Caenorhabditis elegans: one gene and its partner. The protein of the gene in region 1 purifies or fractionates together with the protein of each later gene. This does not show direct contact. Each region holds a gene or a part of one and is shown on either strand. Other genes may lie near its edges. The genes, in order: Y76B12C.3 and pbs-5.

What was found.
Region 2: the proteins of Y76B12C.3 (region 1) and pbs-5 fractionate together in Caenorhabditis elegans (co-fractionation; one large-scale study listed by BioGRID). This does not show direct contact.

The regions. Positions count from the first base shown.
Region 1 is NC_003282.8:1,968,911-1,981,089, reverse strand, and holds Y76B12C.3 (Selenoprotein F), read right to left. Parts: upstream 7,386-12,179; 5' UTR 7,383-7,385; coding exon 7,263-7,382; intron 7,211-7,262; coding exon 7,115-7,210; intron 7,028-7,114; coding exon 6,964-7,027; intron 5,729-6,963; coding exon 5,550-5,728; 3' UTR 5,408-5,549; downstream 1-5,407. Other genes in the region: nssp-37 (Neuropeptide-Like Protein), read right to left, coding at 789-853, 910-1,102; Y76B12C.4 (Translation initiation factor IF-2), read left to right, coding at 8,719-9,111, 9,908-10,184, 10,232-10,320; Y48A5A.3 (Ubiquinol-cytochrome-c reductase complex assembly factor 2), read right to left, coding at 10,862-11,144, 11,275-11,351; shq-1 (Protein SHQ1 homolog), read right to left, coding at 11,615-11,998.
Region 2 is NC_003279.8:14,715,656-14,727,216, reverse strand, and holds pbs-5 (Proteasome subunit pbs-5), read left to right. Parts: upstream 1-6,739; 5' UTR 6,740-6,754; coding exon 6,755-7,158; intron 7,159-7,209; coding exon 7,210-7,544; intron 7,545-7,745; coding exon 7,746-7,861; 3' UTR 7,862-8,050; downstream 8,051-11,561. Other genes in the region: K05C4.9 (Protein zyg-11 homolog B), read left to right, coding at 1-339; K05C4.10 (uncharacterized protein), read right to left, coding at 1,086-1,284, 1,578-1,921; sol-2 (CUB domain-containing protein), read left to right, coding at 2,486-2,585, 2,638-2,973, 3,110-3,193, 4,024-4,502, 4,941-5,046, 5,091-5,296; K05C4.2 (Protein jagunal homolog), read left to right, coding at 5,878-6,186, 6,236-6,496; Y54E5A.8 (Conserved plasma membrane protein), read right to left, coding at 8,232-8,329, 8,706-8,979, 9,538-9,651, 9,699-9,821, 10,066-10,142, 10,382-10,454. UniProt on the Caenorhabditis elegans protein: Component of the 20S core proteasome complex involved in the proteolytic degradation of most intracellular proteins. This complex plays numerous essential roles within the cell by associating with different regulatory particles.

The DNA of each region.
Region 1 (12,179 bases):
TGTAGCCGATTTTCGTGCAAAATATGTGGGATTTCTGCAGAAATTGCGCATCAAAAATCGTGAAAATCATTGAAAACTACGTCACAACTACGATTAATATATCTTTCCGTCGGATCTCCGCTAGAAAATCGATTTTTTCGCACCACCGAGAGTCTTGTTAACTTGCAATTTTGGCCAGAAAATCGGCTAATTTTTCAAAATACAAAGTTATCGACGCGTCACAACTTTCAAAGATAAAATCCCCGCGATTTTCTGCGTTTTCCCCGAAAACTCGGGATTTTCAACAGGTTTCACTATTTTTTTAAACGGAATTCCTGGCTTCCCTCATAAATCGAAATGGCAGAGTTTGCCGAACTAGGCCATTTTGGGTCGGAGAGATTTTGTGTAGATTTACGGAGCGTTGCGTGTCGCGTCGCGGCTCGTTTTAGTTGTAAAACTAGAGTTTGTTGTCCGTGTGGAGTACACGACACCTCCACGCGTTGTCCATCAGGCGATTGTCAATGGAACGCGAAAATTCAATGAGAAAGGCCAGAACCCCGGTGTTTTTTATTTCGAATTTAACGTTCAAAAGGGCAAAAACCCATGTTTTCAACTTTAAATCTCTAAAAAAGAGCATTTTAGCCAAAAACTGAACGATCTTCTCCTCGAGGACAAAAAAAGCAAATTTTTCCAAATTTTCATAGCTTTTCATCGTAATTTCCTGAAATTAGGAGAAAAATCTAATTATTTTTTTTTCACGACAAAAACCTTTATAAATACATTATTCAACAAAACATTTATGATTATTTTCACTTTCTTCCGAGTCCCTTGTAGTATGGGAATGATGATTTGTAGTATCTTCCGCGGATTGATCCTGCAAAAAAATATATATAACCACCAAAAAAATCGATAAATCGTCGTAAGACTCACGAAGATCACGATAAAGGCTGTGGCGGTCCTCAAGAGATGGCGAGACATAGTACATTGCCTCGTCGCCGTCATCCATATTCTTCCATGAAGGTTCTGCAATCTCCTTATCGTCTGAAACACCTTCTGGAACACTCTGCTCTGTTGGGATGAGGAGAAGCGTGGCGAAGATGAGTGCTTGAATTTGGAAATGCATCTGGAAATTGGTTTATGGGAATTTGCAAGAGAGATTGGAAAGACCAGAAGAGAAATATGATTGTTCAGCTAAAAAGGAATATCTCGACATTCATGTGGTGTCAGAGTGTCTCATTTCGGCTTGATCTACGTAGATCTACACAAAAATGCGGGAGAAGAGACGCAGAGTTGTCAACAAGAACATTCTGGTGTCACATTCTTTTTTGGGCAAAACATTCCCGCATTTTTTGTAGATCAAACCATGATGGGACAGCCTGACACCACGTGTACATTGTTTGGGCTTTTCTATAGTGAGAACTCAAAAGAAAACGTGGAAAAATTGGCTCCGTACATCTCAACTGTGGAGAACTCCAAATGGATCGTCTCTGGGATAAGAAGTAGGCATTTTTAAAATGCCTACGTGCCTGCCTACTTTCGGGTCTGGCAGGAATTCTCGTATCTGTGCTACTGAAAAAGGTTTGATCTACAAAAATGCCGGGAGAAGAGACGCAATGTTTTCAACTGATTTGAACGTGCTGACGTCACATTTTTTAGCAAACAAATCCCGCATTTTTTGTAGATCAAACCGTAATGAGACAGCCTGGCACCACCACGACTGCTACGGGACCCCCCGTTACTATCCCTTACACCGTCTACAAACTCAAAGAATTTCCAAAAGCTTCAACTCAATGTCACGAAAACTTCCGTTTTTTCAACAATCTTGTATTACGGGGACACAATATTCTGAGAATGTGTATTGCACAGCATATTTGATCAATTAATTTCAAAAAATTAAGCCCATAAATCGACACAAGAGCTACAGTAGTCATGTAAAAAATTACTGTAGTTTAGATATTTTGCGCGTCAAATATGTTGCGCAATACGCATTCTCCAAGCTTTGCGAACCCGTGATAAGGTAAACTGTCTAACTCCGCCATAACTCCGACAAAAAATACTCGAAATTCTGGAAACGAGGTTCCACGTGGTGTCAAGCTGTCCTATCGCGGTTTGATCTACAAAAAATGCGGGAATTTCTTTCCCAAAAATTGTGACGTCAGCACGCTAAATCAGTTCAGAAGTCTGCGCCAATATTCCCGCGATTCTCGTAGATCTACGTAGATCAAACCGAAATGGGGTACTCTAGGCTGTCCCATTACGGTTTGATCTACAAAAAATACGGGAGATCCTTGCCCAAAAAAAATGTGACGTCAGAAAGTTATTAATCATGCGAAATCAGTTGACAACTCTGCGTCACTTTTCCCGCATTTTTTGTAGATCAATCCGAACTGGGGCTCTCTGACACCAAAACCGCCTGAAAACTGGCGTATCTTTTAAATGGTGAAAATACGACAGAATGAGCACTCTATCATAAAAAAAAACGACATCATGATCGACTGAAACTGACACGGATGGCAAGACAAACTGCCATTAGCACATGTATTTATTTTTCACAGAGCTTAGAAGAAGAAGAACAAACATATTTATAGTAATCCGAAAGGAATGATGAATTAAAGGAATTCGAGTTTTCGACAGCTTCTGAGCTTGAGCCTCAAGCTTGAACTGAAAAAAAATCCGAGAAAAATCAAAAAAACACGGGTGGGGAAATAGACTCTATTCGTGAGCCGGAGCCCGTCTTCCAGAGCACATAATAGAAAAAAAAGTTGTTTTATATCTCTACACGCTCCTTCTAATCGAATATTCATGATATTGGCTTTGCCGTCGAAATGAGCTACTCTTGCTGAATATCTTAGTTGCGGAGGGCACTGATGAATTCTGAATTTAGAATTCATCAATTCAGTCAAAAGTGTAATCCAAGTAGCTCATTTTTTGAGTGAGTGAGCTCCGGGAAAATGTACACGCATTAAAAAAAATTTTTTTTTTTAATTTGCGCTCGACCAGAAAAAAAGAAAAAAAACTGGATAATTACATCCATTATTAGTACGGCTAGGAGGCGTGTGAAGTTTGAATAGGTGAGGAGCAGCAGGCGAGGAGAAGCTGCTCAAAGTTCAAGAATCGAGGATTACGCAAGTTTTTGCACCTGCCCAGTTTAAAGATTGTGCATATTTCAGGGAAATTCTAGAAAATCGAGTTCTGCAGAATTTTTTTTCTCGGAACTTTGAACCTGATGACTAGTTTGGAGGCCTAGTTTTCTATCCAGGAGGCCATTTAGTGAAAGCCTATACGGATTTTTCAGACTAGAACAAACAGTTTTTTGGAGAATTACTATTACGCAAACACAAAATTCTGAGAATGCGTACTGCACAACATATTTGGCGCGCAAAATGTCTCGTAGCGAAAACTACAGTAATTCTTTATATGACTATTGTAGCGCTGATGTGTCGATTTACGGGCTCCATATATGAAATGAATTTTAATCATTTATTTCTCGATAGAATATTAAAATTAGGCGAAAATTAAGAAAATAATACGAAGAAACCGGAGGAAAATAATAAAGGTATAGGATGTAACTGCCACTCACGCACACTGATCGATCTTATAAGGGTTTATTAAGTAAAAGGGAACAGACTAATTGCATCGTCGAAACAGAGTAAACGAGAGAAAAGGGAAAACGACAAGTAACGGGTTAAAGAGTTAAGAAATGATCACAAATGAGCGTCGTCCTCTCCTTATATAGGCATTTCCGGGTTAAAGACGCAGCCTTTAACGACGACGGGTCTCGGCGCGACAATGCGACCTTCTGTAGCTTGGCGGCGGTTTGAACTGGAGTTTCTCCTCCTCGCGGATTGCCTTCGCTGTAGAAATCGTTGTCCTCGACCGATTTCGTCCGTTCTTTCTGTAAATTATCAGAGAGAATTTACAGACAAATAAATTAGTATTTATTTATGTAAAATGAGAAGTGAAAAGGGTGGAATCCTTACAAAATCGAATATCGCTGACCGAGCCCGTAAATCGACACAACAGCGCTACAGTAGTCATTTAAAGAATTACTGTAGTTTTCGCTACGAGATATCTTGCGCGTCAAATATATTGTGCAATACGCATTCTCAGGACTTTGTGTTCCCGTAATGTGCGCCGAAATTCTCTAAATTGCAGAAATTTTCAGAATTATAACGAAAATTGCGGCAAATCGGAAAACCGGCTACTTGCCGAAAATAAAAACTTCCGGCAAACTGGCAATTAACCGAAAATGAAAGTTTCCGGAAAATTGATGAACCGGCAAATCGGAAAACCGACAATTTGCAGGAATTGAAATTTCCGGCAAAGCAGAAAACCGGCAATTTTCTGAAAATGAACATTTTCGGTAAATTGGAAAACTGGCAATTTGCCGAAAATGAACATTGCCGGCAAAGCAGAAAACTGGCAGTTTGCCGAAAATAAAAATTTCCGGCAAATTGGCAAACCGGCAATTTGCCGAAAATTAAAATATTCGGCAAATCGGAAAACCGACAATTTGCCGGAATTGGAATTTTCCTGCAAATCGGAAAACCGGCAAGTTGCCGAAATTGAACATTTCAGGCAAATTGGAAAATCGGCAAGTTGCCTGAACTGAAAATTTCCGGCAAATTGGCAAACCGACAATTTGCTAAAATGGCCATTTCCGGCTAATTGGCAAACCGACAATCGGCCGGAATTGAAAATTTCCGGCAAATCGAAAAACCGGCAATTTGCCGGAATTGAAATTTTCCGGCAAATTGGCAAACCTGCAATTTGCCGAAAATAAAAATTTCCGGCAAAGTAGAAAACCGACAATTTGCCGGAATTGAAAACTTCCTGCAAGACGGAAATTTGCCGTAAATGAAAATTCCGGCAATTTGCCCAAAATAAAAAATTCCAGCAAAGCAGAAAACTTGACATTTGCCGGAAATGAAAATTTCCGGCAAATTGGCAAACCGGCAATTTTCTGAAAATGAAAATTTCCAGCAAATTGGCAAACCGGCAATTAGCCGGAATTGAAAAATTCCTGCAAATCAGAAAACTGGCAATTTGCCGGAAATTAAAATTTCCGGAAAATTGGCAAACCGGCAATTTGCTGAAAATGAAAAATTCCGGCAAATTGGCGAAACCGGCAATTTGCTGAAAATGAAAAATTCCTGCAAACCGGCAAACTGGCAATTAGAAGCCGAAAATGGCTCAGGAGGCGCCTGAGCTCAGGTAATCAATTTCCGGCAAAACTGGAGCCAAGTGGTCCACTATAGCTCTATTTGTAGCTCATAGTCAGTAATAATTCGATTATTTTTAGTTTTCTTCTCATTTTACTTGTTCCTTCTCCCTGTGGGGGAGGATAATGTAATTATGAAATGAAAGGGAGAAGCTTGGAATATTCTAGAAGAGTCGTGATGAAAATCTGAAATTAATGTGAAAAATGAAAATATCGGAACCTTGTTGCTTTTATTAACCAGCCCACTACAGCAAAAAAAATTGGAAAATAATTTAAAAAATACCAGTGAAAACATGGAGAGAGAGAGTCAGGAAAATATGGGGTGAAAATCGAATTTAATAACAAAAAATTATTCGAGCCATTGATTGAAAAAGTCGATGAGCGTATCGGTATCCCATTTCTCAACGCTGAGCACCTCTTTTGTCTTAAAATCGGCATCTTTCAGTGCAACTTGTGGTCGGACACCTCGTACATGCTTAACTTTCACTTTTCCACCGAATTGACGAGCCATATCCTTATGGACGAATGCTGGAATTATTGATTTTTTGGGTGTTGAAAATTTCACTGAAAAATTTAAAAAAAAGTTTTTTTATTTTTCGATTTTCGGTTTTTTTCGAATAAAATCATAAAAATTATTATTGCAAAAATGAAAAAAAGAGAAAGTCGTGTACTCCACACGGAAAATTATTTTTTTGAGCCGCGACGCGACACGCAACGCGCCGTAAATCGACCCCGGCCGAGCCCAAATGGCCTAATGGCTCTATGAAAATATCGGGGTTTTTGATGAAAAATAAAAATAAAAAAAGCTTGAAATTTTTTCGATTTTCGAAATTTTTCCGAGCAAATCGTAAAAAATTAAGACTTTTTCTGTTAAAAATAGTTTTTTACCCTTTTTTCTCTCGATAAACAGGATTTTATGGTTTTTCGGCAAAAAAAAACTCGCTTTTGGTCATTTTTCGCTAATTTTTTAAATTTCAATCGCAAATTTTTCACTTTTATTAGTATTTGAACGTGTAAATCGGGGTATTTATAAGAATTTCTTGTTTTTCACCAAAATTACCCAGAATTTCGCTTTCAAACACTAAAAATAGAGATAAATTAGCATTGAAAACGAAAAATTTCAACAAAAATGGTTCCAAATCTGAAATAGAATTTCCGCCAAAAACTACAAAATCTTCTCCTCGGGGAGTACACGAGCCGCGTAAACCATCGTGTGTGTGTGAAAAGCTAGTTTTTTTAAACATTTTTCAGGGAAAAATAATAATATTTTCGCTTTTTTAAAAACTTTTTTCAAAAAATCGGCAGAAACTTTCTTTTCGAATGAAATAGTTTTATTTTCTAAAAATAGAGAAATTTCAGAAAATTCTTGGAAAAATGATTTTTATCCTCTCGAAAAATAGGGAAACAGAATTTTTCGATTTTCAGAAAAATGAGCTCTAGCACAGCCCCGTGTAGATTTACGCAGCGTGTGTACTCCGCGAGTAGTAGGATTTTATGGTTTTTTTGGCAAAATATCCCTTATTTCGGGCATTTTTTAATGTTCAAATACTAAAAATAAGGATAAATTAGCATTTTTAACGTTGAAAACGAAACATTTTAACAAAAATGGCTCAAAATCAAGAATTTCTGCCAAAAACTACAAAATCTTCTCCTCGGGGAGTACACGAGCCGCGTAAATCATCGACAGTTAGTGTGAAAAGCTAGTTTTTTTCGCTTTTGAGGTATTTTTCGGGCCATATTCTCTTTTTCCAATCAATTTTCACCTTGAACTTGTGGGAATCGAGCCAAATTGCACTCGCAGACTTCCAGAATTGCCGTTGGATATTTCTGAAATTTAAAAAAAATCGATTTTTGGGTGATTTCTAGCGGGAAAAATCGATTTTTTCACAAAAAAATCCCAATTTTAAAGCGTACTTCGTGCTTAAACTCTTCTTCCTTAATACAACACTGAAGACAATCGGTGAGCAGCGTTTCCAGATGATAATCCGATAGTCGTTCGCATAATCCGCACTGAAAATTTACGAAAATTTCAGATTTTTGCCAAGATTTTCAGGAGAAAAACCTTTAAAGTCTCCGGATTGAATCCCGCCGCCTTGCACTCCTCTACATCAATTTTATACTCTTCAACTTCACCGAACATAGGCGAAACCACGGCGGCCAGCAGCAGGAAAATCACCCACATTTTGCTGGAAATTTTTATTTTTTTTTGTTTTGTTTTGGAATAGCAAAAAATCCATGAAAAATGAGTGAAAATCCCCATTAAAATACGTGGAAAATGCTCCAAAATTGGCTCAAATCGACGTCAGCAGTGCAAACACCGCCGGGTACCGCCACACCATATTTGACGACAGTTTTGGGCAAAGTTTGGAGGGAACCCATTCACGGGAGGGAAAATAGGGGAAAAGTACAAGTTTATATAGCTAAAAATCCATATTTTTCGGGGGGAAAATTGGGTAAAAAGCACGAAAATGTCGGAAACTATCGATTTTTCGATTTCTGCGATGAAAATACGGTACTGGGTCTCGACTCGACAGGATTTTTTTTCATTCTAAAAGGTGTGCGCCTTTAAAGAGTACTGTCATTTTAAATATTCGGGGTTTTAATCGATTTTTAATAGTTTTTCGATAAAAATGTATTTGACAACAAATTACAGTACTCTTTAAAGGCGCACACACATGTTTTCCATTTAACAAAAATTTGTCGTGTCGAGACCTGGTACCGTATTTCTGGCGCAAAAACCGAACAACTTCAGAGAGGACAAATTGAATGCATGTTTTAATTTAAATCTAGAAAATTAATTTTCAACAAAAATTGAATAATTATTCCGTGAAATTGCCATTTTGAACTTCGAATTGAACTTAGAATTCAAATTTTTCAAAAAAAAAAAACCGACAACCTGTGAGAAAATAAATTTATTGTTATTTTCTTCTCGGCTAGCGGAAAGACGGCGAGGATAAAATCTGATTTCTTGGAAAAGTCAAAACCGATTCACATAAAGGTAACTTTTTTGCTTCTTTTCTAGGTGGCCTAGGAAAAGCGAAAACTCGGCCAGCGTATGTTTCCGGGAATTTGCCGAAAATTCTCATCAAAAGCCTTTTTCGCAGAATTTTAAAGTTTTTTATAGCTGAGAGAAAGTTTTGATATCTTGAAATTTCTTGATTTAATTTTTTTTCTCCCCAGACACCGATAAGTCTAGGTCTAAGCCCCCCCCCCCTCAGCCTAACCTTAGGCCTGAACCTAAGCCTAAGCATAAAGCCTAAGCCTAAAGTCTAAAGCCTAATCCTAAGCCAAAGTCGAAGCCTAAGCCAGAATCTAAGCCTAAGCCTGTACCTAAGCCTAAGCCTAAAGTTAAGCCTGCCTAACCATAAGCAAAAGCTCGAGGCTAAGCCTAAGCATGAATCTATGTCTAAGCCTAAGGCCACGCATAAGCCTAAGCCTAAAAATCAGCAAAATGTGCTCCCATAGCAATTCTACGGGCCTCCACAACAATTCTGAGCCATAAATTTCCAGATTCAAAAATGGAAGCACACCGCGCCGAGCAACCACAGTGCACGAAATCGGGTAAAGTAATTCTAAAGCCTGGATATGATATGACAGACGGACTGAGTGAGATTGATGACTGGGCTCCGGAAAAGAAAAAACGGGCGAAAAAAGTGCCCTCTAAGCCACGTGAAGGGCCCAAGTTGATCGACGAATTTGAGGAAAAGGAATCGGAGAAAGAGGCGGCGGAAAAGGAGAAGGAAAAAGAGAAGGAAAAAGAGAAAACCCATGAGAAAAACGAGGCGGATAAGGAGGAAAAAGAGGCAGAAAAGGAAGAGGAAAAGGAGGAAAAACCACCGAAGGAAGTCACTGAGGAGAAGGAAAAAGAGAAGGAAAGAGAGAAGACTAAGACGAAGGATGAACTCGAAGAGGTCTGATTTATTGATTTTTATATGGAAAAATCAAATGAAAATCGATAATTGCAAAGCTGCCACATGGTGTAAGGTTGTCCCATCACCGCTCGATCTACAATAAATCCGGGAAATTTCGCCCAGAAAAGTGTGACGTCAGAGGGAAACCTTGCGGCTCGCTTCCCGCATTTTTTGTAGATCACGCGGTCAGCTCGACACCACGTGAGCTGTTCGGATTTTTTCTCTCAGTGCACGTGGCGTCAGAGTGTATCATTTCGGCTTGATCTACGTATATCTACAAAAAAAGCGGGAGAAGAGACGCAGAGTTCTCAACTTTGTTGTTGTTGTTGTGCAACAACGCGGCGCTAGCGCCGTTCTAGACGCCCGCCGTATGTGCTCCACCGCCCGGATCGAAGGGTTTATAGGCCAGCCCGAGGGCACGGGCGGCTTCTTTGGGGGACGTCCACAGATTTTCTTTCAGGATCGGCTTCGATCTACTGCAGGTTAGGTAGTGTGATCTAGGCCACCCTCATCATCTCCACAGCTACATGTCCCGACTGGAGTTCGTCACATAATTTGGGCAAAAAATTTCCGCATTTTTGGTAGATCAAACGTGGCACCACGTGTGTATCGACGAATGGCCGTGAAAAAGGATTTAAGGATATTTCCCGTAGATTTTTTGGATTTATCGATTTTTTTTTCGTAGAAAAATCGATAATTTTGCGTAATTTTTCACAAGAAAATGTATCGTTGTGGATCGATATTGAAAATTGCTACAGAAAATCGATAAAATTTCACTCACTACTCCTTTTTCCAGGCGCCAAGGGAGAAGGAAACGATGGAAAAGAAGCAAAAATCAAAGGACGAAGACGAAGGGGACCTATCGAAGGAGGAAATTTTGAAAATTAAGAAAGCGTTGAAAAAGGAGAAAAAGCTGAGGGATCGAGAGCGATTGAAAACGGAGAAAATCGATAAATCGACGGAAACGAAGAACTCGACGACTCCCAGCACGGAAAAGGAGAAAAGTTCGATGAAAAAGACGAAAAAGGAGGCTGCCGTGGCCACCGGCACCTCCGGCAGCGCCAAGAAAAAGGGTAAATTATCGATTTTTCAGAATAAAAATCAATTATTGATTTTTCAGTGAGACCACCGGCCCCCCCTCCGCCGCCGACAAAGCGAAAGCCTAAAGATATACGGGCGAAGAAGAAGGTGTGCTGCACGATTTTGTGAACTTTTTCCCTTTATTAAAATGAATAATTCGCTTTGATTTATTGATTTTTCATAAACTATTTGGCTTTAAAAATAAAAATTTCGGAAAAAAACGATGTTCCGATATTCTGTCGAATTTTTTATTTTTTATAGCGAACAGTTAACAAAAAAAACGCTTAAAAATAAGCGATTCGGTTGGAAAAGTTTCAAATTTCGCTACAAAATTAAAATTTCACGCGCGTAATTCGTAAAAATCATCGAAACAGCCGATCATTTTTAGATTTTTTTTAATGAATAACCGCTATTTTTAATGTTTTTTCACTACAAAACTGATGAAACCGCGGAAAAACCGAAATTTCAATCAAAAAAAATTAATTCTAAACAAAAATTTAAATTTTTAAAATTCAAAACACAAACGACACTCCGATATTCCGCTTGCGCGCCCTGTTTAGCGGACTGTTTTTTACATTTTTTTTTTAAGTTTTCGATCGAAAAATACGGGAAATCAGAAAATAAAGCAATTTTATCGTTCAAAAAGCTAAAAAAATCCAATAAAAATCGATTATTTCTTCTCGGGCACGACGGATCGATATAATCGCTTGAAAATCGATACTTTCGGCTGTAGACCCATCTGTTTTCGGCTTTCTTCACTCGAGGCCGCCTGTAGATCGGCTAATCGCATTCCAAATACGCCGGAGGAGTACGAATTCGGGTGTTTTTTGAGCACTTCGTTGTTGAGCAGCTGCTCGAGCGCCTGAAGACGTTTCTCGCAAATCGCTTGAGAGGCGACGACTCCCGGCTGGAATTGCCGTTCGATTTCTTTGACGAGGAAATTGGAGAAGTCTCTGAAAAAGGGCAATTTTGGAAATAATCGATAATTTGTAGATTTTAGCGAAGATTTAGCGGAAAAATCGATACTTTATTGATTATTTTTTAGTGAAGCGCGCGTTGCGGTCGCGTCGCGTATAACCCTACCTTTCCGGCGCCCGAAATGCGTCTTTCGGCCATTTTCCGGCGATTCTGACGTACTGCTTGTAGAGATGCTTTGACATCTGTAAGAATATCGGATTTTCTAGCTGAAAAATCAATGAATCGGTGAAAAAAGGTAGAGTGAGGAGCTTCGAACCCGAAAAATCGATATTTGGAGAAAAAATTGAGTAATTATTTTAGAATTCAACAAAGTGTGCAACAACAGAAAAAATTGTGAAATTATCGATTTTTTAGCGGAAAAATCAATTAATGTGGGTAATAATAGAAAATAACAAAAAAATTGAAAAAAAAAATCGATAAATTATCGATTTTTCTAAAAATCATATCAATTATCGGGCTCATCATCGCTGTCAAGTTGAGTATTCGCCAGTTTCGCCTCGGCTTCCAACACCTCCAAATCCCATCCAATATCGTATTTATCGATTTTTCCCGAAATTTCCGTCAAATCCGTCTGAATTCGCGTCAGAATCTCGTCGGGCACAGTTTGAATCCAGAAAATGTAGTCGGCAATCATTAAATCGTTCAAAATGTAGCGAAATTCTCCGGATTCGATGAAAATTCGGTGTAAATCGCATAGAATGTGCAGGAGGGCGGGACGGCCACCGCCGGCGGTGATGACGTGGCAAACGTCCTGAATGACACGTTGCGTGAGTTGGAAGCTACGGTAGAGTGGGTAGGTGAGTGCACGGCGGGTGCACGCGAGGAGACACTGAAATTTGGGAATTTGAAGAAAAAAATTATCAAAAAAAATTTTTATTTTTATCAAGAAAATCGAATTCAGCTCTCCAAGAGCATTCATTTAAGTATAATCATGACTAGGCTCCGACGATTTTGAAATTTCTCGGGTCTCGCCACGAAGCTTCTGTAGTTTTCGTGGCGAGACCCTAAAA
Region 2 (11,561 bases), on another chromosome or scaffold:
CTTTACCTTCTGCACTCAATCTTTTCGATTCTTTTGAATCAAACACGGCGAGGTTTTCGAAATTATGTGAATCGACTGTTGAGAAACAATTATCATCGACTGGAAACAAGTGAAATTGTAGATATCGATTTGCCAATTTTCCATAGCTTATTTGCGTCAACACAATTTGATGGGCCTATCCTTTGGGCTCTTTTTAAAATAGAAAAGTTCTTAGAGCAACACGATGACGGCAGAAGAATTGTGGAAAAATTCAATATACTCAACTTGATAATCAATATCAAAATAAAGTCGAAACTGGTGAAAGTCGCTAAAGAACGAATCTTACTAATTCTTAAATAGTATTAGAAAATCAAACAAAGTTCCGGCTTCTATACCCGAGAAATCAAACAATTAAACCCTTTCATTACCAATTTCAAATAAATTTTCAAAATTAAATTTCTATCGATTTTCGAGCCAACTCCATTATTTCTATTACCCATATATGGTATACAAACTAAAAAAGGATAACCAGGCTCGACACGACAAGTTTTTTGTCAAAAACAAAAATATGTGCGCTTGTAAATAGCACTGAAACTTGTTATCGCCTAAATTTATGTTTTCAAAGTTTTCACGTTGTTCTATTTTAAAACTATTAGGAGTTTCAATCCTGAAATTCCATTAAGCATCTTGATCCTGAACACACTGTAATCTTTACATTTGCTCTATCAGCCGACTTTCCAGCCGTACAGCCCTGATCCTGATACCAGTGTCACTTATGTGCGATTGGAGAAGATTTAGAAAGGAATCGTAGAGTTTTAAAAGTCTTCTTTACTAACTTACGGGCGGTTTATTGGAAATATTACGGGCTATTAGGGAAGGAGCATGGTGCCGATATGAAAAAGCATAACAACTAGAGACCCTAAACATTCAATTTTATATTCAATTATTCAATTGTTTTCCTTCATTCTTATGTGTATCATGTTTTGCATTCTTTTTTTATGACCCGATTATAAAATCGTATTGACATATATAAATTTAAAAAAATTAGTTAATTTACAGTTAATTGTTTCTCGTTGTTATTCAATTGTTACTAGGAAATATAAATTTCATAACTTTTTCGGAAACTTCTCTCCCAGAGTAGAGAAAAGGGAACAAATAATTAGATTGGCAGCAGCAGCAGCAGAAGCTTCTCTTAAAGTGAATAAGTGGACGGAGGACCGACTGAAGAAGATGAGACTACCAATTAGGAGCAATTGGAGCACATGCTCGGAGCTGCAAAGGATACTACTTTCTATGGAAAGCTTTCTGCAAATTGAAGAATATTTAAAGGCTGTAAATTTTTTTTGAAGTTTTTTATTCTAGCAGTTGAAAACGAAAGAATCGCAACTGTAGAAAAATTTCAGTTAGGATAATTTCAAACTTTAGTTGTAAGAAGGATAAACCAAGATATGGGCGGAGCTTGCAAAACTCCACCCATTTCCTGGTTCAAAATTTCCAGTTTCTTTTCAAATTGAGTGAAGATTGTTTTATAAGAAAACTTGAAATTTTTGAGCTACCCCCCACTTCTTGGTTTCCCCTCAGACTTATGAAAAACCTACATTTTTTCACCGAATGTTTTTTTTTCCAAATCCAAAAAAAGAAGACGTTCATTTTCTCGTAGACTAATGTATTTTTCTGCCAAATTTCCCTGCCCCATTCTGCTCTCTCTCTCTTCGTTTTCCGTTAAAATGAAGAGCACCCACCAAAATGAAGGCGAAGAAGCAATTCCATCTTCTCGTCCTTTTCCTCTCTCAATTTTCGGGCGAGTGTATTCAGATGGAGCAGCTGAAGAAGAGCACACTCTTTTCCTTCTGAAGGTCCCTCCAAAAATGGATAAGTGGACAAAGAAGATGTAGTAGAAAAAGGAGAAGAAGATACATCGATTTTTTATTTCAATTTCCATTTTTTTTTCTCTTCTGCATTTTTTTTTTCTACATTTTCTAGTCTTTTAAGCCAAATATAGGTTTAGCTAGGCTTTCTGTTAGGCTTAGACCTAGGTTTAGGCTTAGGCTTAGGTCTATTTTGAACTTTTTTCAATGCAATTCCCGATTTTTAAAAAATATTTTTTAGAGTATAATTTTGCCACAAAATATTGATGGCCGAGCATTTTTTTTCAGTGGCCGAACTTTATATGTTCGCGGCCACGTGACTTGTATCTCATTTGATCTTTTCTTTTTGGTGTTTCAGAAAATTTAAAACCTTGACCTACCTGATACACTGGCCGTGAAATTGTGAAAACTCGGCCACCAATTTTCACGCGGCCACGTGGCTCTTCCAAAAAACCAAAAAAAAATTGGACAATCTCTACTTTCTTTTCAAAATTTGTTTCCTTCAAAAAATTATCTTTTCTGTCCAAAGAACAATAGAAAACTTGAAATTTCTGGAAAAAACAAAAACTAATTTATTTCTAATTTTTCTGTGGGGATTATTATTCATACCAAATTTTTCTATTTTTTCAGATGGTAAAATGATTGAATATCTGTTATTCATCATTATCAACGTCATCACACTGATCACATGCTCATATTGTCCCATAAAGCATATTCATTCGTCTACACCCACTACAGGTGAGCTCTGGAAGTTTCCATAGAACATTAAAAAAAAATGGTGCAATTGCAGGATTCATTGAATCTCCGGGATATCCATCGGCATTCTCTGCACCTCTTGACTGTATATTCAACATAACAACAGCTGCATCGAATGTGATCCAATTATCATTTGTCTCATTTGATCTAGCATCAAAAAATCAATTAAGTGATCAATGCCTGGATAGTTATCTTCTGGTTGTTGTAGTTGATAGACATGGTAGACAACATGTTGGTGAGAGGTTATGTGGGAATCAGGTTCCACTGTCTATTAATACTATGCAATCATGGATGCAAGTTCAATTCGTCACTACTTCAACTAATCAGAAGCATCGAGGGTTTAGGATTCAGTACAGGATTCTTTCGGAGGGTAGGTAGAGCTGGAAACTAGTATAATTTTTTTCAACCAGTTCTTTGTAGACAACTTTTCTATCTTGTTTCTTTTCAATTTCCCATGCTTCTTGCGAAGTTCTAGCAAATTTTCCCTTTAAAAATACCATTTCCAGCAGCAATCCAGGAGCCATCTTCAACCCTCGGAGAATCAATGTTCAGTGGTTGTGGTGGACATTCCACTCCTGGACAACTTTCTGGTGAGGTTTTAAGAAATTTGTAAATTTTTGCCACATGGCTGCGTGAAAAGTTGGGGACCAAGTTTCCTATTCTCGCGGCCAAGGGTGTCAGTGTCCCGTAAAAATTACAAAAACGGGACAACGGGAATTCCCGTTCCCGTGAAAACGCTCAAAAACGGGACAAAAGACGTCCCGTTCCCGTAAAAATGACAAAAACGGGACAGCGGGAATTCCCGTTCCCGTGAAAACACCCCAAAAACGGGACAACGGGACAAACGGGAATTGACACCCTTGCTCGCGGCCACGACACCTTCATGTTTCGAAAAATTTTGAAGAGGAAAAGTGCTTTAATTGGTGGCCGAGGTTTGTTTCTTTCTAGGCTACGTTGCAAAAACTGTTACCTTACTACGTGGCCGTGGAATGAAAATACTCGGACACCAGGTGATTTTTTTTTTTGAAATTTCAAAATTTCAAAATCTATAAAACTATTTCTGTAATGGTGCGTCCATAGTCTGCGGAAAACGGGAATTTCCCGCGTGCGGAAGCGTCCATAGTCTGCGGAAAAACCGTAGTTTCCTCGCTTTTTTTTCCTCAAAATTCAAAAAAGTAGGCGTGGTCTTTTTTCGCTTTCCCATTGCTCAGCTTAAAATTTTACAACCTCTAATTTGTTGGACACGCCCACTATTTTGAAATTGACCAATAACAAAGCGAGAAACTCCTTCTTTTTTCCGCAGACTATGGACGCTTCCGCACGCGGGAAATTCCCGTTTTCCGCAGACTATGGACACACCATAAGAAATTCAAAAAACTTAAAATCTGAAACTTCTACATTATACAATTATAATATTCAGGTGAAATACTGTCACCAGGCTATCCAACCACATATCCGAAGAATTCCACGTGTAATTGGTTGATCCGTGTAGAAGCCCGACAACGAATCTACATTCGAATAGTTCATTTACACTTGGCCCCCACTATTGCAGAATGTGAACGAGCATCACTAACAATAATCGATGGATATAAACATGAAAAATATGGAATTGATCGAAAGGAATCCACGTCAGAGACGTCTGAAGCAAAATTCTGTGGAAGTCAGCTGTATTATGCAGAAGAGGGAATGAAAAGCTATTTATCAAGTGCAAATCGAATTGTTGTACGATTTATTACACAGGAAGGACCACCGTCTTCAATGATTGGGGAAGAGAGGATTGGATTTAAAGTTGTATGGACTGCAGTGGAGGGTCTGATTGGAGAAGGTGATGAGAGTGTTAATGGAAATTCTTGTAAGGATCAATTTATGTGCCATGGGGGACAAGTTTGTGTTGAACAGGTTTGTGAAAAATCAGAATGTTTTCAATGAATCTATATGTAGTTCCTTGTTATTTTTTAGAAATTAACTTGAATCATAAATTCAAAAAAAAAGAGTTGTTTAATTACAAAACTTTTTATTTAATCCAAAATTTTGGGTTAGTGTAGTCACTAAAGTACGCAAACGGAACTACAGTACCCAAAAACATCCCATTTCACGACATTTGCTAGTTTCGAGCTGGAAAATTGATTTTTGAACGGGAGAAAACATAAATTCGACAGTCTGAATATTCGAAAAAAAAGGAGAAATTCTAAAGTTGAACAGAACCTATTTAGAATAAATTTTGTTTTGTAAGAAAAATTAATTAGCCTTTTCGTGATTTGTATTTTTGATATTTAACAAATTGAATTGCCACAATGCTGAAATCCATGTATTTTCAATTACTTTTTTCTACTTCAGGGTCATGGAATTTGCGCTTCACGGTCCCGTCTCTGCATTCACAGCTCTCTCGTTTGTGACGGAATCCATAATTGTGTTGAAGGAGATTTCTCCGACGAGCAACACTGTAAGCTCATTTTCCAGTAAAATCCAAGATCTAAAAATTTCCAGGTTACTCCCGAGAGATAATAACATCGGCGGCACTCGGATTCTCGTTGATTGTGCTCACGATGCTCGTCTTGGTGTGCTGTGATCAGTTCAGGAAGCGGCGACGGCTTCGGGTGATGATTCGGGAACGAAGAGCCGCGTCGGAGAATGGGAAATGTAAAAATATGAATAATAATTCGATTACAACACGGATACAGCCGAACCGGTGACTATTAGAGAGCGAATTGTGAATGTTTTCGCGATTCGCTCGACAAATTTATCGAATTTTTCACAATTTTATAATTTAAAATTGCTTTTCAGTTAATGTAACGGAGCTTTTTTCTTTTATTTTTAATTTGAAACTTTAATAAACATTATTCAAACATATAAATTATTTACTTTCGACAATTTTCAAGTGTTTTGCCTGGCAGAATAGAAAGAATTATGGAAATATTAATTCTTTATCAGCGGGAAAGTAAAAGAAAAATAACGGCAACTCCGTGCGGCGATATTGCGAAAACCGCGCGCGCGCATTGCAAAGGGGCGGAGACTCGTCTTTTTGTCATCTTTTGTCATCACTAAAACTAACTAAAACAAAATTTTCTATATCTTTCGCAGGTTTTCGCTTTTTTAACGAGTTTTCTCATTCTTTCTATGGAAATACTGATGAATGTGTAGAGTTGGTCGATATTGGGACCTGTGAAATTTATACTTTCAGCTCAGATGTTATTCTTCGCTGTTTCTTCTTAATTTCTCTTTTTAATCACTTGAAACTCAATTATATCTTTATTTCAGCTCACTTCAAGCGGGAATGTCATCACGAGGAGTTCGAGCGGCGGGTACCGATGGGACGGACTTCCAAAATCGGCAGAGGGTCGCACAGCACTACCAGGAGAGCGCTCAATACAAGTCGATCCTCAAGTGGTTCTTCGTTCCACACTTCTTGATCCTGGTCTTCATGTGGCTCAAGGTTGGCAGCGAACTCCTCCGAACAAATTTCGGATGGAAAAACGCGTTCTTCGATCGACTGGACATGCCGTCAGCCTACCCATGGGAGTATGTGTGGTGCTTCTCATTCATTCCGATCGTCCTCGCCATCTATTCGTTCCAACGAAACAAAGTAATTTATTTATTGATCAATTTGCCACAAATATAACTTCTTATTTCAGCTCAAGATCCTCCACTACGCCTACTATGCCGAGTTCGTCGTCGGAATCTTCCCATGCATGATCGGGCTTGGAGGACAACTTCCAGAGCTGATGGAGTATGCTCAAGACATGGAGGGAAGCAACACACCGACATTCAAAGGAATCTTCCCGATGGTCATCATATGGTACATCTTCTTCGCGGTCGCACTCCAGATTCACGGATTCTCCATGTACTTCATGCATCACCTTGCCGCCGCATGGGCTCCAGTCAAGCGAGATTAAATTTTCTCCGTTTTGTGATATTATTTTTCAATTTTCCCCCATTTGTTGAGTTGTGTACCTTTTCCTTGTTAATAGTATTTTTATTCAAATTCCTGCTAGTCTCTATTGCCAAATTAATAATTCCATATCTTTTATTTATTTTCTTACTTTTTCTAATTACCGGTTACTGTTCTACAGTTCCGTTGATACTTTTCTGTTTCAATATTGATTGCATTTGTTTCATTTTGTTAAATCAATTTTCAGAATCGAACTCCAAAGATGTGGGGCGAGACATTCGACGATTTCGAGAATGACGAAGGAGAGATGGCAATGGCCAAGCAGAACCTGATCGCCGAGCCGGCTCGAGCTGATTTCACTTTCGCGAAGCTTCCGTTGGGAATCCAGCCCGTCGATTTCATGAAGACTCACTTCGCCGAGACCGCCGGAAAATCCATGCAATTCCGCAAAGGAACCACCACATTGGCGTTCGTCTACGAGCCAGCAACTCCAGCTGACAAGGGAGGAATCATTGTGGCTGTCGATTCACGAGCCTCCAGTGGTGAATACATCTCATCCAAGTCGGTCATGAAGATCTTGGACATCGGAGATCGTATGGTTGCCACGATGGCTGGAGGAGCTGCTGACTGTCAGTTCTGGACCCGAATTGTCGCCAAGTACTGCACGTGAGTTTCAATATTTTCAGCTTCAAAACAAAAATAATTATTTATTTTCAGTTTGTACGAGCTCCGCGAGAAGACCTCAATCACCGTGAGCGCCGCGAGCAAGTACTTTGCAAATACGCTCTATGGATACAGAGGACAAGGATTGTCAGTTGGATCGATGGTGGCCGGATACGATAAGAAGGGACCACAAATCTTCAAAGTCGACTCGGAAGGAGATCGTTGCCAGCTTAAAGTGTGCTCAGTTGGCTCAGGATCTCTGAATGCCTACGGTATCCTCGATAATCACTACAAGCCAAAGATGACGGACGACGAGGCCAGAAAGCTCGGCCTGCGTGCGATCATGCACGCCACTTATCGGGATTCTGGATCCGGAGGCGTCTGCAATTGTACGTGAAGCTTTTTGCTCGGCTATTCCACAAAATGGACCATTTTTCACTAAAAATGGCTTTTATTTTGTCTAAAATTTAAATTTTAGACGATTTTTATTCGAAAAAATTCTTCGGATAAATGAAAAAATTGGTTCATTTTGTGAAATCTCCGGCCACCTTTAATCTAATCGCTTCTATTTTTCATCCTCCAAATTTCAGTGTGCCACATCACGCCAACCGAAAAGATTCGTCTTCCACCAATGGACGTGAGCAAGCTGTGGTACGAGTTTGCCGATGAGCTCGGCAGAGATATCACCTACAACCCAGTCGAGTGATTCAATTTCCCTACGCTGAAATTAATTTTATTCTTCTTACATGTATTTGATGTCTGATCCGATCCCGATTTTTTTTACATACACACCCGTCTTTAAAATGTCATTTATTTCTATTTTTCGTTTCCAATTAATTTATTCTTCTTTTGCTAAATACTCTCTGTACATTAAGTTCTAAAGTTTTCAAGTTCGAAATCCCGAATTTAGGCTTAGAATTTAGAATTTCCCTCGACAACAGGGGTGGCTGGAAGAAACTCTCAATCACATGGCACAAATTGGATTTTTGGAACATTAATATCAAGTAGTTCTAGAGGGATACTGAGATGGAGTTACACTCAAAAGTTTATTGCAATTTTCGAATGTGAAAATCAAGTTAAAGCGATATGTGTCGGCTGGGTGTTGATGACGTGGTGATTATAACAGCTGGAGTCCCATTAGTGTTCCGCCACGCAGGGCCTATTCGTGTTCCAGCTGGAAATAGTTTAATTGTGCTATTATTTGAATTGTTTTTTTCCATTAAAATTGAGAAAAAGTGCGATTTTAAGAGTAATGGGTATCAGTAGGATCTAAATATTTTAGCTACCGTACCCAGGAATATTTTGCAACTTTCTCTAATTTTTTCGACAGCTTTGGATTGTACAGTTTTGGCTGAGAAAGTCAATGGGTAGTTCGAAATTTGCCAAAACTAAGTTTTCCGTAGATCAAACACAAAGGTTGCGCGCCAAATATGATGTTTTGAGTCCTCAATCGGAAAGTACGCAAAGACACACAAAATGCATCAGATTTGACGCGCAAACTTCATTTTTCTTGTTTGTGAAAAAAATATAATATTTTTTTAAAAACTTACAGGACATAGAAGGTGCCACAGATGCCCGTTCTATAAGCTCAATTTGCTGCTCTCTCCGCCTGGGAAGCATCGGACGGCGGCTCTCGGAGCCCACACTATCGCCAGCTTTATTATATATAATGGCACTGGAACGATCGAATTGTGGCTCCTTTTGCATATTATTTATAAAATGGTAACAAGCGGTAAGCATGACGCCCATGAAAATTCCAATGCAGAAGAGTAATCCGACAAGAATCCACGGGAAATCAGATGGCTTGAAGGAATAGGAACTTGGCTGGAAAAATCGAAAATTGGTAAGTGGTCAGCATGCGCGCTCTAATGTTAAAAGAAATATAAATTGTTGGTGTTGGGTCCTGCCGTTATCTAAATTGATATAAACATTTAAGCTACCATAGTCACGAATATTTTTTTTTTTTTTCATTTTGTTAGAATATTTTCGTCGTACAAACCGATAATCGGCAAAATTTTTAAAAAAGTTAAAAACTCTGTAACCGCGCTCCAATGATAAATAATAGAATTGTCGGGTCCCACCACAATCGAATCTTTTCATCTACCTTGAAATTTGCATAATAACAGAAATTGGAAAATTATTTGAAATTCAAAAAATATCTCATTTTTCAGCGGGAATTGGAATTTTACGGAAGCTGGCTTTTTCAGAGTCGATGCACCATGTGCAAAATTTTGACAGGGGATATCTCTTGGTTCATTTTGAAGGTACCAACAAATTTTTAAACTGCAAAATTATCTTTAAAAATTTGGCGTCAAATGTGGTGTATTGTGTCCACAAAGGAAAAATAACCGAAAACACTAGATTTGACGCGCAAATTCTCACCGTAGACGTTTGCTCTTTCTTCTGCGTAGGCGGTGGTGGAAGTGAAGCAGAAATGACACGTGAGCCACCTGGTTCGACGGCTTTCCAGTAGAATTCTTTGTTATTTATTTTTTCCTGTAAAAATAATAGTTTTCGATTTAAAAAATATGAAAGAGACAAACTTTAAGCCTAGGATCGGCGTCTTTTCCCATACTCTGAATAATTTCGGCCGCCAATTTCGGTGTCATTTCTTTTCCGCCACGTATCTCGTAGTAGTTCGTACCGTACTCATTGTTTCGTACCGCCTGAAAGTTTGAAATTAAAAAAAAAAAACGAAACCCAAAAAGTTGCACGTGGTGTCAGGCTGTCCCACTACGGTTTGATCTACAAAAAATGCGGAAATTTTTTTACAAAAAATGTGACGTCAGCCCGCTCAATGTGAAATTAGTTGAAAAGTCTGCGTCTATATTTCTGCGATTCTCGTAGATCTACATTGATCAAACCGATATGGGACATTCTGACACCACGTGTAGTTGTAGTAGAACTCACACTGTAAGTAGTATTTTCTGGATCTTCAGCTTCTGGTTTTTGGGAGAGTCGGACACTGAACACGTGCACAGAACAGTCTGCAAACTTTATTTGTTGAAAAAATCGCTTCGAGACCTAGAAAAAGTGCGGTATAGCGTAATTGCATACTTCGTTGAAAATTGCATGTCAAACATTGTGTATTGTAACCAAAAATCGCAAATTTGAAATCCCGTAAATATTTCGCTTCTTTCCAATAAAATTACTTGAAACTCAAATTTTTGCGGCGAATTGTAATGTGAACATCATGTTTGACGCGCAAATTTAAGAAAAAACGAACCATTAGGCGGCTGACACTGTGGAATAACAACAGAAAGTGCCGAAAGTACGGCGGTAAACAGAATAAGTAACATTTTCGGCTTTCTTCTCGAAATTTCAAAAATCATCACCGAGTACTACGGTGAATCATTATAGCTATATTGGTTTTAAAAATTTGAATTTGATTTTAAAAAAAGTTTTTTTTTGGAAATTCGTTTTTCTTTGAATAACAATCACAGTGCCGATGAAGAGAAGGAAAAAACCGAAAATAATATATAAAAGAAGTTACACACTCTCAGATAGACAGAAAAAGAGACATACATACACATTGATAAGGAAATCATCGGAAAATTGAGAGTGAGAGTGAGAGTGAGAAAGAGAGAATTAGAGACAAATAGTTGTAATTGATTGAGAGAGATTTGATATGTGACTGGTTATTTTGGTGGTCTAGAATATCAACAAAAAAAAACTAGACCTAAATTAGCTTGTTCCATAGCCGGAGACAAAAATTGCGCGTCTAATGTGGTGTTTTGGTGCGCAACCGGAGAGTACGCAAACACTGACCAAATGCACCAAGCGGAGCCTGCACTACAGTAACATAATTACTTATATATAAAACCAGACGCTGACCGCGCCCCCGGCGCATCCAACTGGCTGGAATAAATTTCAAATACCCCTTGAAAATAGCAGTGCAATTTTGAAATTAATTTGATTTTTTTGAAAATGAAAACTTTCAAAGTAACGGTAATTTTGCGTGTTGGCATAGCCTACATTGGACGGAAGGAAACTCTACTTTATATATATTATTATTATTGAATACGTTTATTTGAACGTGAAAATAAGAGAAGAAAAAGGGGAAAAAATATAAATTATATTGAATATTGTGGAATAATACAGAAAAGTGGGAACGGGTTGAGGCCTTGTTACATAACCTTATCATTTATTAATGTGTCCAAAAAATAGGGATAAAGTCTGTGTCTGATGAACGAAAGTTAAGAATGATTGCTTTTTGCAGGGTTGAACACGATGAGTGAAAAAATGAGTTCGCTTTTAGGAGTTTTCCACCTGTAAGCGTGGCTGTTCCTAGTTCTTTCAGAAGGTTTGAACTCAAAAAACTGTGAATGATCTATATAGTAAATGATAATATAGCACGTGGGGATTATTAGGGGACATGGTCGGGGTATTGTAGTAGCAATGTAGGG